Linked DNA regions of Mus musculus. The protein of the gene in region 2 interacts with the protein of the main gene of each other region in a biochemical or structural test. Links are inferred from orthologs where the notes say so. Each region holds a gene or a part of one and is shown on either strand. Other genes may lie near its edges. The genes, in order: Snap29 and Ehd1.

The links.
Region 1: the proteins of Ehd1 (region 2) and Snap29 form a complex in vitro, tested with the Homo sapiens proteins (2 studies listed by BioGRID). The link is inferred for Mus musculus from reciprocal best matches to the Homo sapiens genes EHD1 and SNAP29.

What each region holds. Positions count from the first base shown.
Region 1 is NC_000082.6:17,414,160-17,420,381, reverse strand, and holds part of Snap29 (synaptosomal-associated protein 29), read right to left. Parts: intron 1,119-6,222; coding exon 922-1,118; intron 1-921. UniProt on the Homo sapiens protein: SNAREs, soluble N-ethylmaleimide-sensitive factor-attachment protein receptors, are essential proteins for fusion of cellular membranes.
Region 2 is NC_000085.6:6,274,095-6,280,876, reverse strand, and holds the start of Ehd1 (EH domain-containing protein 1), read right to left. Parts: upstream 3,982-6,782; 5' UTR 3,903-3,981; coding exon 3,499-3,902; intron 1-3,498. UniProt on the Homo sapiens protein: ATP- and membrane-binding protein that controls membrane reorganization/tubulation upon ATP hydrolysis. In vitro causes vesiculation of endocytic membranes. Acts in early endocytic membrane fusion and membrane trafficking of recycling endosomes.

The DNA.
Region 1 (6,222 bases), on a different chromosome or scaffold from region 2:
TTTTGAGGTAAACAATCTATAATTTTAAAGTATAAATTAATGGACAGATTAGGTTAGATATAGAGAAGATGTAAATGAGATTTTTACATACTCATATATGTATGTGTGTAACATGTATGTATGATTAATTTTTGTGTGCTGGTGGGAATGGAATCTAGGTCTTCACATTTAGGCAAGCCTTCTACTAATATACCACACTCCTAGCCTACATGTGTACATGTTTGTATGTATGTACGATACATTAGATTACATTTAATTTGTGTGTGTAAATATGTGTGGGATAAGAGGAAAAGGTGTTGGGAGTTTATTCTGGGTTTCCAACCATGTCACCAGGTTTGATGGCAGGCACATTTGCCTGGGGAGCCATATCACCAGCGCAGCCATATAGATTTCTTTGTTTTGTTGTGTTTTGTGAGACAGGTCTCACGGCTGGTGTTAAGATCTAGTCTTCTTGCCTTATCTTCCTAAGTTGCTCTGATCACAAGTATGTACTGTCACATCTGGCTTATTTATCAGTATGCTTTTTTTCCTAAAATGAGGCTTTGCTTAATTGCCTGACTTTGCCTTGAACTTGCTATCCACCTGCCTTAGGTCTCTTCAAGGTGAGATTACACACAGGCCCCACTATGTCTGGCTTTTGGAATGACTTGATAAAGAAACAGTCTGTAAAAAGAACCACATTTTTAGTGATTAAACTTTCTAAGAGTGGAGTATTTTTCATGAATTAGATGATCAGTTGGGTATAAGGGTATAATTAGATGAACAGTTGGGTATAAGATTTCTCATGAGTAGGTCCCTTCCCATGAGTAACCCACAAGGTTCCAGGATACCTTAACAGCACTGACAAGGTCTGAAAGCCTTGGCTCCTTCACACAGCCTGTCTCTACTGTTTTATGTATCCAATGCAGACGCTGCACTCACCTGCTGTTGGGCTGGGAGACGATGCTGCCATTCTGCTCAGGTGGAGGCTCTACTGGTTTGGATTTGAAGTAGTTGATAAATCCTCCAAACACACTCTTAATGCTGTTGATATGTTTCTGGCTCATCTTCAAATCCTGATCCATCTTGTCTACCATCTTCTCTGTGTGTTCTAGGACTCCTCGCTGCCGGACCAGCTCCTGCAGAAGGCAAGAGACAGTAGCATTATGCCATTTCCACTATTTCCAAAAATCATAGTATATTTAAGTCTGGAGCTGGGAACGTAGCTCCATTGGTAGAGTGCTTATCTGGTTTGCACAAAATCCTGGATGGATCCTTAGCACTCCATCAACCAGGCCTGGGCACACAAACCTGTAACCCCACAACTTGAGAGGCAGAGGCAAGAGGATTAATTTAATGTCATATAGTGACTTTGAGGGAGGCCTGGACCAGGTGAGACTCAGTCTCAAAAAATCATCTAGATAGGAATGGCAGCCCATGCTTTTAGTCCCAGCACTTGGGGACTTTGGGGGAAGAGTCAGGTTGGTGGTGTAACTTCTAGGCCAGGCTAGTGCTTTATCTGGTTTCCCACAGGGCTGCTGCTGCTTCCATCCTTTTCTAGAATATTAGAATATTACAAAGTAATGGGCTTCCTTATAACATTTCCTCCCACCAGCTCCCCCAAACTTCTAGGCCTTCAGGACTACATAGAGAGACCTTGCCTCAAAAAAAAAAAAAGTTTAAAATCATGTATTTATTATTCTGTTTGAGGGCTGGTGGTTACATGTGGAGATCAGAGGACGACTTAAGGGAGGTGACGTCACTCCTTTTACCATGTAGGTGCTGAGGATCAAACATAAGTTTTTAGGGTCGACAGTACAAATTGATCCAGCCCGCTGGCCCCTTTATGCCATTTCACATTGACGTTTGGTTTGCTCCCCTGCTCTCCTCTGTCCCTGCTCTATCACTGCAGACCCTGGCCCTGTATTCCTCCTTCCACTTATGTATCACATGGTCATGGATCCTCCGCACCTATCTTAAAGTACCCCTCCCATCTTAGGGGTCTTTTTCAAGCTTCACAGACTCTACCCACACTTACACCTACTTAAATAGACATGTTTTATAGTTAGAAAGTAGGATTCAAGTCTAGCATGGTGGTGCACACCTTCAGCCCCAGCACTCAGGAGGCAGAGGCAAGCAAATCTTTATGAGTTTGAAGCCAGCCTGAGTTTGGTATACATAATGAGTTCTAGGACATCTTGGACTACTTATAAAACCCTGTCTCAAAACCAAAAACAAACAAAAAACAAAACAAAAATCCTAGCCAAATTACTGAGCAAGAGCACAAGAGAGCGTGAGAGGAAACCATGATTTGCATGAGAGAACATGTGAGATGCTTTCTGAGCCTAGACTACAGTACTTAATGGAATATTTTCTAGTTTCATATATCTTCCTACAAATTTCATAATTTCTATATGGTTTAATAAAATGCCACTATGTATATGTACCACATTTTCATGATTCATTTGTCCATTAACATTTTTTAAAGATTTATTTTATGTATATGAGTGTTCTGCCTTCATGGATATATGTGTGCTGCTTATGTGCCTGCTGCCTATGGAGATCAAAGAAGGGCACTGGATACCCTGGAACTGGAGTTATGGATGGCTATGAACCACCATGTAGGCTGGGAACTGAACCTGGGTCCTTCACAAGAGCAAAAAGTGTTCTTAACTATTGTCTTAGTCAGGGTTTCTATTCCTGCACAAACATCATGACCAAGATGCAAGTTGGGGAGGAAAGGGTTTATTCGGCTTACACTTCCATGCTGCTGTTTATCACCAAAGGAAGTCAGGACTGGAACTCAAACAGGTCAGGAAGCAGGAGCTGATACAGAGGCCATGGAGGGATGTTCTTTACTGGCTTGCCTCCCCTGGCTTGCTCAGCCTGCTCTCTTATAGAACCCAAGACTACCAGCCCAGAGATGGTCCCACCCACAAGGGGCCTTTCCCCCTTGATCACTAATTGAGAAAATGCCTTACAGTTGGATCTCATGGAGGCATTTCCTCAACTGAAGCTCCTTTCTCTGTGATAACTCCAGCTGTGTCAAGTTGACACACAACTAGCCAGTACAACTATTAAGCCATCTCTCCAGCTTCTACTCACCTATCTATAGACATTTAGGTCAATTCCATGCCTTTGGTATTGTGGAAAGAACAGGAACAAACATGGAATCCTTTGGGTATACACCCAGGAGCACATAGCTAGATCACTATTTCTAGATTTTGTGAGGATTTCCACACTGTTCTCATAATGGCTACACCAGTTATATTCTCACTGCAGTGAATAGTGTTTCTTTCTCTTACCATCTTTGCTAGCATTTATTGTATTTTGTCTTCTTTTCCTCTCTCTTTCCTTTCTCTCTCCTTCCCTTCCTTCCTCCCTCCCTCCTTACATACCTTCTTCCTTTCTTTTTCTCTCTTTTTGTTTTTTGAGACAGGGTTTCTCTGTGTAGGCCAGGTATCTCTGCTAATAATAAACTAAACTTTTGATACTGTAACCAACCCCAATTAAATGTTTTCCTTTTTAAGCATTGCCTTGGTCAACGGTGTCTGGTCACAAGAATAAAACCCTGACTAAGATAGCATGTGTCATCATAGTCCAGTTTTGTTTTTTGTGAGTTTTTTTGTTTTGTTTTATTCTTTCGAGACAGGATCTCACTGTGTAGCCTTGGCTATCCTAGAAACAGGCTATGTAGACCAGACTGGTCTCAGATTCAGAGATCCACCTGCTTCTGCCTCTTGGTGTTGGGATTAAAGGTACCATGCCTGTCTAAGATGTTAGAACTTTAAAACATATTTATTATCTACCTGCATTTCTTCCTTTGAGAACCATCTGGGCAGTTTCTTAACCCTCTTATTGACTAGCAGTGTGGTGGTTTGAATATGCTTGACCCAGGGAGTGGTAGTCACTTCCCCAGCTGAGCCATCTCCCTAGCCTCCTGCTTGTGAGGTAGTCACTTACCACTAAGCCATCTTCCCAGCCTTACATTTCCTACTAAGAAAAGTCTCTTGCTCCTAGATGTATTTAGGAATGTTTTCCTCAAGCAGCTCCAGCATATTAATATGAAATCAAGGTTTCTGACCCAGTTTGGATCATGTGCAGAGTGAGAGATGGGAATCTAATTTCAGTTTTGGGCAGATGTTTATTCAGTGTCGCCAGCATCACTTATTGTAGAAGCTATTATCTAATGTATGCTTTTAATACCTTTGTAAAAAACAAAACAAAAAGGATATCTAGTCTCCTTTCCCTGGCTGCACAATGCCTGGGGGGTTGTCAGAGCTCTGGCAGCCTTCCTCACAAAGCCCAGGAAGCTGAAAGTCCTGAGTGGGCCAGTACAGTCAAACTGGTCAAACATAAAAAGCTTGCCCCCTGTGATGGTTTGTATATGCTTGGTCCAAGGAGTGGCACTATTAGCAGGTAGCCCTGTTGGAGTAGGTGTGTCATCGTGGGCATGGGCTTTTAAGACTTCTATCCTAGCTGCCTAGAAGCAGTCTTCTCCTACCTGCCTTTGGAACAGGAGGTGAACTATCAGCTTCTCCAGTCCCATGTCTGCCTGGACAATGCCATGATTCCACTTTGATAATAATGGACTGAACGTCTGAACCTATAAGCTAGCCCCAATTAAATGTCCTTTATAAGAGTTGCCTTGGTTGTAGTGTCTGTTCACAGCAGGAAAACACTAAGACACCCCCTATGATAGGAACTGGTTGTACATATGAGCTGCTTCCACAGCATGGCTCCTGTATCTCCATGGTGGTGCCAGGGTGTGGCCAGTGCATTTCCCTGCGGAGTTATCTCCCCAGCCCACTTTTTTTTCAACGTATAGAAGAAAGTTTATTTGGGTTTATGGTTCCAGAGTAATAAGAGTCCATCATGATGGGGAGACATAGCAGTAAGATAATGATGGCAGGAACAGGGAGCTGAGGGTTCATATTGTGGACCACAAGCAGGAAATAGAAAGCTGACACCTAAGTTTGATTGATTGATTGATTGATTGATTGGTTGATTGATTTGGTTGGTTTTTCAAGACAGGGTTTCTCTGTGTAGCCCTGGCTGTCCTGGGACTCACTTTGTAGACCAGGCTGGCCTCAAACTCAGAAATCTGCCTGCCTCTGCCTCCTGAGTGCTGGGATTAAAGGCGTGTGCCACCACACCTGGCATAAGTTTTATTTTTTTTGTTTTTGTTTCTTTGAGTTCCTCTGGGTAGCCCTGGCCATCATGAAATTCTCAGAGTGATCACAAACTCACAATGATACAGTTCTAAGAAGAGGGGAAAATTGGTTTCTCAGCAAGAGGAGTGAGTCATGTGGTAGCTCTAGTGTGGTAACCTTAAACAAAGAAACTCAAGGGAGCCTCAGCTCATGGATACTAGATTCCCCGATTGTCAAAAGGGAGGAAGGCAGAGAAAGGCTGCTGCCTCCAACAAGCAATGGGCTCCATGGGAATTCTGGGTTCAATATTCCTGACACAAAAGATTAGAAGTCTAAGAATAGACTTAGACAGAAGCAGAGGACCAGACAGTAGGAATTTATATGCCTTGAGGATTATATAAAGAGAGAGCCTGGAAATAGGCTCATACATTTGTTTAGTTTGCTTTATTTGCCTTGAATTGTTTTAATTATCAAAATGGGTGTGATTTTGCTTTTTGTGGTTATATTATTATTCCTCTGGGAGAGAAGTCAAGCTAAATGTTTAATGATTTCCAGTTACTGGCTCAAGGACATACTATTCTGGGAGGAAGGCTCTGCATTTGTGTTGACAGGGAAGGAGAGTAGGCTCTAGATCCTTTCCAGAGTTATATGGATCAGATATGACAGAGGGAGACCCCTGAAGAACTAGAAAAATTCAAGAGAATCAAACAGGACAGGTGAAGATTCATTGTGCCATCCTTCACATGGCATGAAGACTCACTATAATTGGTTATTAATAAAATCAACTCATAAAAAAGACAGCTTTCTTTCACACGTTCAAACAGGAGCAGAATTTCATCCTTATCTAGTCTCTGCACCCTACACAATCCATGCAGATAGCTTGATGGTACTTAAATCTATTTTGAGATTTGTATATTACAGTGTATACAGCTTTGGTGAGACTCATCCTCAGAGGTGCTAAGCTGACCTGCTTTTGGACTCCCTGTGTCATGGATTCCAGGTCATTTTGACTCATTCGACCTTTCAATGGGTCAAGTCAGAACTTCAGTCAAGCCCTGAGCCTTCTAGGCATACAGAGACTATCCAGTCC
Region 2 (6,782 bases):
AAGCAGAGGCAGGAGGATCAATGCTAATTAAGTTCCAGGCCAGCATGGTCTACACAGAATGACCCTGTTTCAGTGGGCCAGGGAGATGCTGCTCAGTGGGCAGGACACTCGCCACGGAGCCCTATGACCTCAGTTCAATGTTCAGAGCCACACGGTGGAGGGAGAAGGCTGCTCCACACCATCCGCTGACCATAAGTGCTGCAGCAACTATGCTTGCACAGAATAAATAAATGTAAAAGAAACCAGTAACAAAGGTGGGCATGACGGCGCATGCCTTTAATCCCAGAACTAGGGAGGCAGAGGCAGGCGATCTCTGTGAGGCTGGCCAGGTCTACATAGTTGAGTTCCAGGACAGCCAGGGTTATGTAGAGACCCTCGAAAAATGAAACAAAGCAAAATAATAACAACATCGATAAAAAAGAAACTCCAACCATCTAGCTAAACTCCCCCACACTAAAAGAAGCGTGGTCTCTTTCTGTGTGTGGGCAGAGGTACACGGGGGCTAGAGAACAGCCTCAAGTGTCTTCCTCTACCTCACTTAGACAGAACCTCCCACGGATTCAGCTAGGCTCACTGGCTGGTGGGCCCCAGGGTGTACCGGGATCTCTTCTTTTTGCTACCCTACTCCAACCCCTGTGCTGGGATTACAGGCTTGCAAAAACAGTTCCAGTATGTACAATATTTAAAGGGTGCTGGAACTCTGAACTCAGGTCTTCACCTTCCCACTGAGCATGCCCACAGTCCCTGCTGCTGGAGCCAGCTGCTTGAAGCTGCAATGAGCCAGCAGTAGTCAGCGCTGTGGAAGGGGTACAGACACACCACTCTTTCAAAGTCAAAACCAGCCTAGGAAGAGAAAGCCAACAGAGGGATATTAGTGAACCCTGGGTAAGGGCTTAGCTGCATATCAGAGTTCCATGTTGAGCTAGGAGTTTAGCAGAACAGCTCAGAGCAGCTATCAGCTGATGTAAAGGGTGGGGTTCTTTAGTGGACAGAGAAAGGGCTCCTTTAAAAAGCTCTCTGAGCAAAGAAAATACAGACGCAAGGTCTGCCAGATACAGGCTTAAAACTGGGCTTTCCCCAGTGGGGAGCAAGTAAGTGAGTGTCTCCTGTGGCTCCACACCCCAAGTTATGATGGTGAGTCTCCCCATGGGCCGGGGACAGCAGGCCAAAGGGAAAAAAAGCACTGTGTCCAAGTGTAGCAGAGCCCAGTGCTGTAAGTCACTGCACACCACACCTCAATTCCCCTTGCCTGGGAAGAAATCCTCTACTCAATGGAGAGAGAGTGAAAGAAAGCCAGAGTGGAAGTGGAGCTGGCGCTGAGAAGTAACAGACACAAAGAGGTCCCATAGGCACATCTGCAGGTCCATGAGAACCCACTACTCCGCAAGGCCCGGTAAGGGGACCACAAGAAAGGCAAGAGGCTGTAAGGATGTCTCCCTAGGAACAGGGATGGGGAGTTGAGTCCTTAGGACTAGTGGGTGGGTCCAGCTAAGCAAGCAGGGGCGTTCACAAACCCCTTTTGGGATTGCTTTATGCCTGTCTCCATTTGTTCCTCTCACTATCTCTGAGCAGCCCTGGGGGGGGGGGGCTAATAAATCAAGTTCATGACTCAATGGGTCCCTTTAAGAGTTCCAGGAAAAGCTGTATCAGCCAGAGAAAAGCCCCCTTTGTTGTGCCCTCCCTGGCCAGAGGCACATCCTGACACAGCTCCGGTCTTGGACTTCACCAGCATTTAGAGACCCTCTGGAATTGGTGGTGGCAAGAAGGAAATGGATGTATAGTTCTTGGATCCCTGTACCCCAGGCCAGACCTCCTAAGTTGTTTCTTTTGGGAGGACAGAGGTAGTAGTGAGTGTACAGGGTACACAGCCTTATTAACCTTGACAGTTCAGCAGGACCTAGGATTCATGAGTTACTGAGTGAGCTGGGGGCTACTGGGATGGTGTGGGCGGTCCTCTAGCCCTTTAAGTTCTGAATTTCCACAGGTGGGAAACTGAGAAGGTGCCAAGTTCCTCATTTCACAAGAGGTCTGCCCTCACAGTGAGGTGAAGACAGAGGAAGGCAGCAGCAGTTGGAACAGCAAGTCTTCCAGTCTCTCCTGAGGCAGAGACCTAAAGCATGAACGAACTCCTTAGCCCAGCAGCCAAACTTCTCTCAAGACCAAAGGCTCCCACCAACTGCAATCTGAGCCAATGGCCTACCTACAGGGGCGGCAAAGCTCAAACATCCTTAGGCAAAGGCTCCAGGCTAAGGGGACTTGAGCATAGTATACAACCCAGGCTGTCAAGCACACACCATTATCATAAAACAAGATAGGCTGAAATTGCCTAGAAGGGACAAAAGGACGTTAAAGATCAGCTCCTTGAAAGGAGGCAGGCCTGGCAGCAAGCTTGCTCTAGAACAAGCTGGCCCGCCCTGTTGGGCCGGACAGTGTCTACAGAGGAATGTGCTCACACAGGGCGGAGACCTGGAAAGCAGGATTCACATTCTTTCCAAGGCTGTTCCCCTAGGCAGAATGCAGAAGTCGAAAGGCATGTAGAGTCACTCCTTGAAAGAGGGAGCAGAGAGGGCAGGGTCTGTGAGTCCTGTCATACCTCCTGTGGGAGGAGTCTGGGATGCCCCAATGCCCTTAAAGATCCTGGGTGTTAAGAGCTCCTCAGGCAGGCCACTGTGATTCATTCATAGCATCCTGAGGGGCTGACTCTAACTCACCGGGAACTGGTTAAGCTGAGACTCCAGGAGACACACGAAGTCTATCCAATCTATCCTAGACTATGGGTCTGGTCATTTCAGGAGCCACAGTGTTACCACCCCCTGAAGTCCCTGAAGTCTCCTGAGGCAACACTGACTTAAGCTTTTTTTGTTTTGTTGTGTTTGAGACAGGGTTGTCTCCTGTACTCCTGGCTGGTTTGGCATTCACGTAAGTGCTGCTTTTAGGAGGGGTGTTGGGACTCCTTCATCCCCTGCCTTCAAAGGGGGCTGCCCCCAAATCAGCAGACCAAAGCATAGCCTCCGCGCCCTTCCTACACAAAACCACTGGTCCCTGGAGATGTGACGCAGAGAGTGACACACTAGCAAAAGGAACATCTAAGTCTCGAGGTTTCCCAGGACACACACTTTAAAAACGGACCCCAGAGGAGGAGGGGGATTCATGAGAATGAGCTGGGTGCCTCCAGAATGAGGAACAAGAAAGGGGGGACAGCAATGGTTCATCTTCTCACAGCAGCCCCCCGCTCTGTGGGAAGTAGGTCTGGGGTCTGCAGGAGGATGTGAGAGTTAAACTGAAAACCTGGAAGGTTCTGGGAATGACAGAAGCCAGAAGAGTGGACGATGCCTAGTCTCTAACTTCTCTCGGGTAGTTAGTGGGACGCAGCAAAGCCGGTGTCCCTGGGAGTGGTCGCCTAGGGTCTGGCGGGGGCTCTCGGAGACAAAGGCCGGCTGGGGGCAATGGCTCCGGAGGCCTTTGGTATCCTCGCGCTGGGGGGCAAGGGGTGGGTACCTGTTGAGGAAGGCGTTGCCGAAGGCGTTGAGCTTGCGGAAGGGGCGCCGCGGGTCCACGACGAGCGCGTTGCCGGGCACCACGCCCTCGGTGGGGCCGTGCATGACCGCGATGAAGGAGTCGGTGGTGGGCTCCGGCCCGATGCGCATCCCCGGGAAGTCCTGCTCGATCAGGTGGCGGATGAAGGTGGTCTTGCCGGTGCTGTACTGGCCGACCAGGAGCACCATCGGCTTGTTGTCGAAGTCAGCGTCCTCCAGCGCGGGCGAGTGGAACTCGTGGAAGCGATAGTGCTCCTCCAGCGGCAGCAGCTTCTGCGCGTACAGCTGCCGCAGCCCCTCGGCCACCGTCTGGAAGAGCTCCGGCTCCTTCTTGCGGCGGGCATCCTTGCTCACCCAGCTGAACATGATGCCGGAGACGGGGCTGGCTGCTACAGGACGGAGCGGTGGCTGAGCGGGACTGGGGCGCGCGGCCGAGGAGGGGCCGGCCGGCCGGCGGAGGGCAGAGGGGCAGGGGGCGGGGCGCTGCCCGCACCGCGCAGGCGCAGGCTCGAGGGCCGGCGTGAGGACCACGACAGCGCCCTCTGCCGAGGGTCGCGCGAACCTCGTCGAGCCGCCCCTTTATAATAAGCCGGAGCCCGGCGTTCCCGCACGCTGGCCGCCGCCTCGAGGCTGGCCCGAGAGGAGGCGGGGGAAGAGCCCTCCAGGCCCCGCCCCATTCGCGTGCCACGTCCTCTTCTGCTTCCCATTAGCTGATTTCAAATATCGCGAGCTCGTGGCTGCGGTGCCTTGGCAACCGCACCTGTTTTGCTCCGCCCCTCGAGGGATGGCTCGTGGAAGTGTGGCGGTCGCGGGTGCCAGAGTCTGGCGTCGAGATGTACTAAGTCTGAGCACCATCTAGCACGTGTGGGCTTCCGGACACCCCCAAGTACTTCAGCTGCGCTCCCCAACTGCAGTGTTTCCGCTGGCTAGGAACTCCCAAAAGCATCGGGAGCCTCACCCTTTGGTCTTTTAGCGACTCTGGAGAGGGACAGGACAGCGGGAATAGGGAAAGCCGAGGGAGTACAGGACACCGGGAAGAGGAATATCGGTAAGGAAGGAGGAAGAGTGCGCTGGGACTCCACTCAGACTGATGGGAGAGGGACACGGCAATGGAAACAATTGACGTGACCTAGCGGGGAGTTTTCACCAAGGCGGTGCCAGCTGCGGAATGGGGTAAAAAGTTGCAGCTTTCTGGCTAGATGAGTTTGGAGGAAGTGAAATCGGAAATACCCTTTGTAAGGAAGAGGGGCAGTGTTGAGCAACAATGAAATGTTGTGGGAACTTAGGGGAAATTAAAAGCCCCAAAATTTCCGCTTTCCTGTCAGGGACACCACCAGTACCATCTCTTGTTCCGTTCTGAGTCCCAACCTGTTTCCAGTTGGTAGCTGTTCCCCACCATCATACCTGGCCACACCTAAGCCCCCTTGGCTGTGTCTGCTGGTGTCTAGTGGGTGATGTCAGAGATTTGGGGACTATGATTGTTAGGTAACTAATATCAGGTCACCCAAGTGGCAGGAGGATCTAAGGGCCATTGGAGAAGTCTAAAAGGCACCGGAGGAGTTGTTTAGCACACAGTTGTGGTCTCAACTGTTTGGAAAGGTTGGAGGATCACTTGAACCCATCGATTTGAGGCCAGCCTCGACAACAGACGCTGTCTTAAAAGAAAAAAAAAAAAAGACAAAATATTTATCGATGAGGCTAAATTCATAGCTTAGTGGTAGAAGCACTTGCTTAGCGTGCACAAGCCAGTAGGGCCCATCCCCAACAGCACTAGAGCCAACAGAAAATCATGGGAACTTGAAAGCCTTGGATCCCACTTGAAAACTTTGATTTGGAAGCCTGTGAGCTAGACACCTATGTGGGGTTAGGCGGGGAGAAAACAGTGGGATCTCACAGGAAGAAAGAGCCGTGTGTATATTGAGGGATCTCAGTCAAGTGGGATCCAGAGAAGGCAAGGTGGGAAGGTTCAGAGATCATTGCCAGAGACAAGCAAATCCCAGCCTGCCTGCAGGCTCTGGGCCAGGCTTCTTCTTTGATCTGGAGTTTCTCCTTTTTTGTGTGGTGGGGGGGGTATTGTGAGTGTGCCATTTGGTGAGTGTGCTATGGGGGTGTGAGTGTGCTATGGGGGGGTGGGATGAGTGTGCTATGGGGGGGTGAGTATGCTATGGGGGGGTGAGTGTGCCATGGGGAGGCAAGTGTACTTTGGTGGAGGGGGTGAGTGTGCCACGGGGGGGAGGGGGATGAGTGTGCCATGGGGGAGTCAAGTGTACCATGGTGGAGGGGGTGAGTGTGCCATGGGGGAGTCAAGTGTACCATGGTGGAGGGGTTGAGTGTGCCATGATACAAGTCAGAAGACAACTTTCTGGAGTTCCCTGTTGAGGCTAGACTTTGATTCTTCCTCCCAGCCCCATGCTCCCAGGAATAAGACTCAGACTAATAATGTATTTACAAAGATCTAGGCCATAAGCTAGGCTCTTCTCTGACTAGATCATAGCTAAATAGAACCCATTTATAGTAACCTACATTCTGCCTTGGCTGGTTACCTGTGCTCAGGTAGCATGCTCCTTACATCTTCCTGGCAAATCTCCCACCTCCTCCTCTCTCAGAATTCTTTCTCCTCCATATGTTCCACCTTCTATTTCCTTCTTAAGCCATAGGCCATAGGCGTTTTAGTTAACAGGCAAGGCATGCATATGCTTCATAGCTGTTCCTCTACAACTCTCTCCTTCTACCATGTGGGCCCTGGATCAACAGCCCTGACAAGTGTGTTGTCCTACTGAGCTGTCCCGACAACCCTCATCTCATTAGCCTTCTTTCCATCCATCACAATAAGGCGCAGAAGTCACGGGCCCCCATTTTTAGGAAGAAGCTCTTGGACAGGGGCTGTGACCATCAGCTGTGTGCCAACTCGTGACAGGAGCCTCAGGCAAGCCCAGTCCAGACCTTGGCCAGCCTTGGACGCTAAATGATTTCTGCCTCCTACGCAGCCTAGATGAGGGTCCGCCCCGGAGATGTAATTTCAGGGCTGGTTCAGAGAAGAGCCGGAGGCAGAGGATCCTAAATGAGGTGGTTGTTTAGCCGTCTGGATAACTACATGATACTGTGTCTCCAGCAACACTCAGACTGACCGGTCATGGTCTTCACGTCTCCCCAGAGTCCTGTGTGCTGAGAAAACCCAGCCCCAGAAAACAGAAAACAAAATGTCCCTGGGTTATTTATAAATGAGATGAGATGTGTGCGTCCACT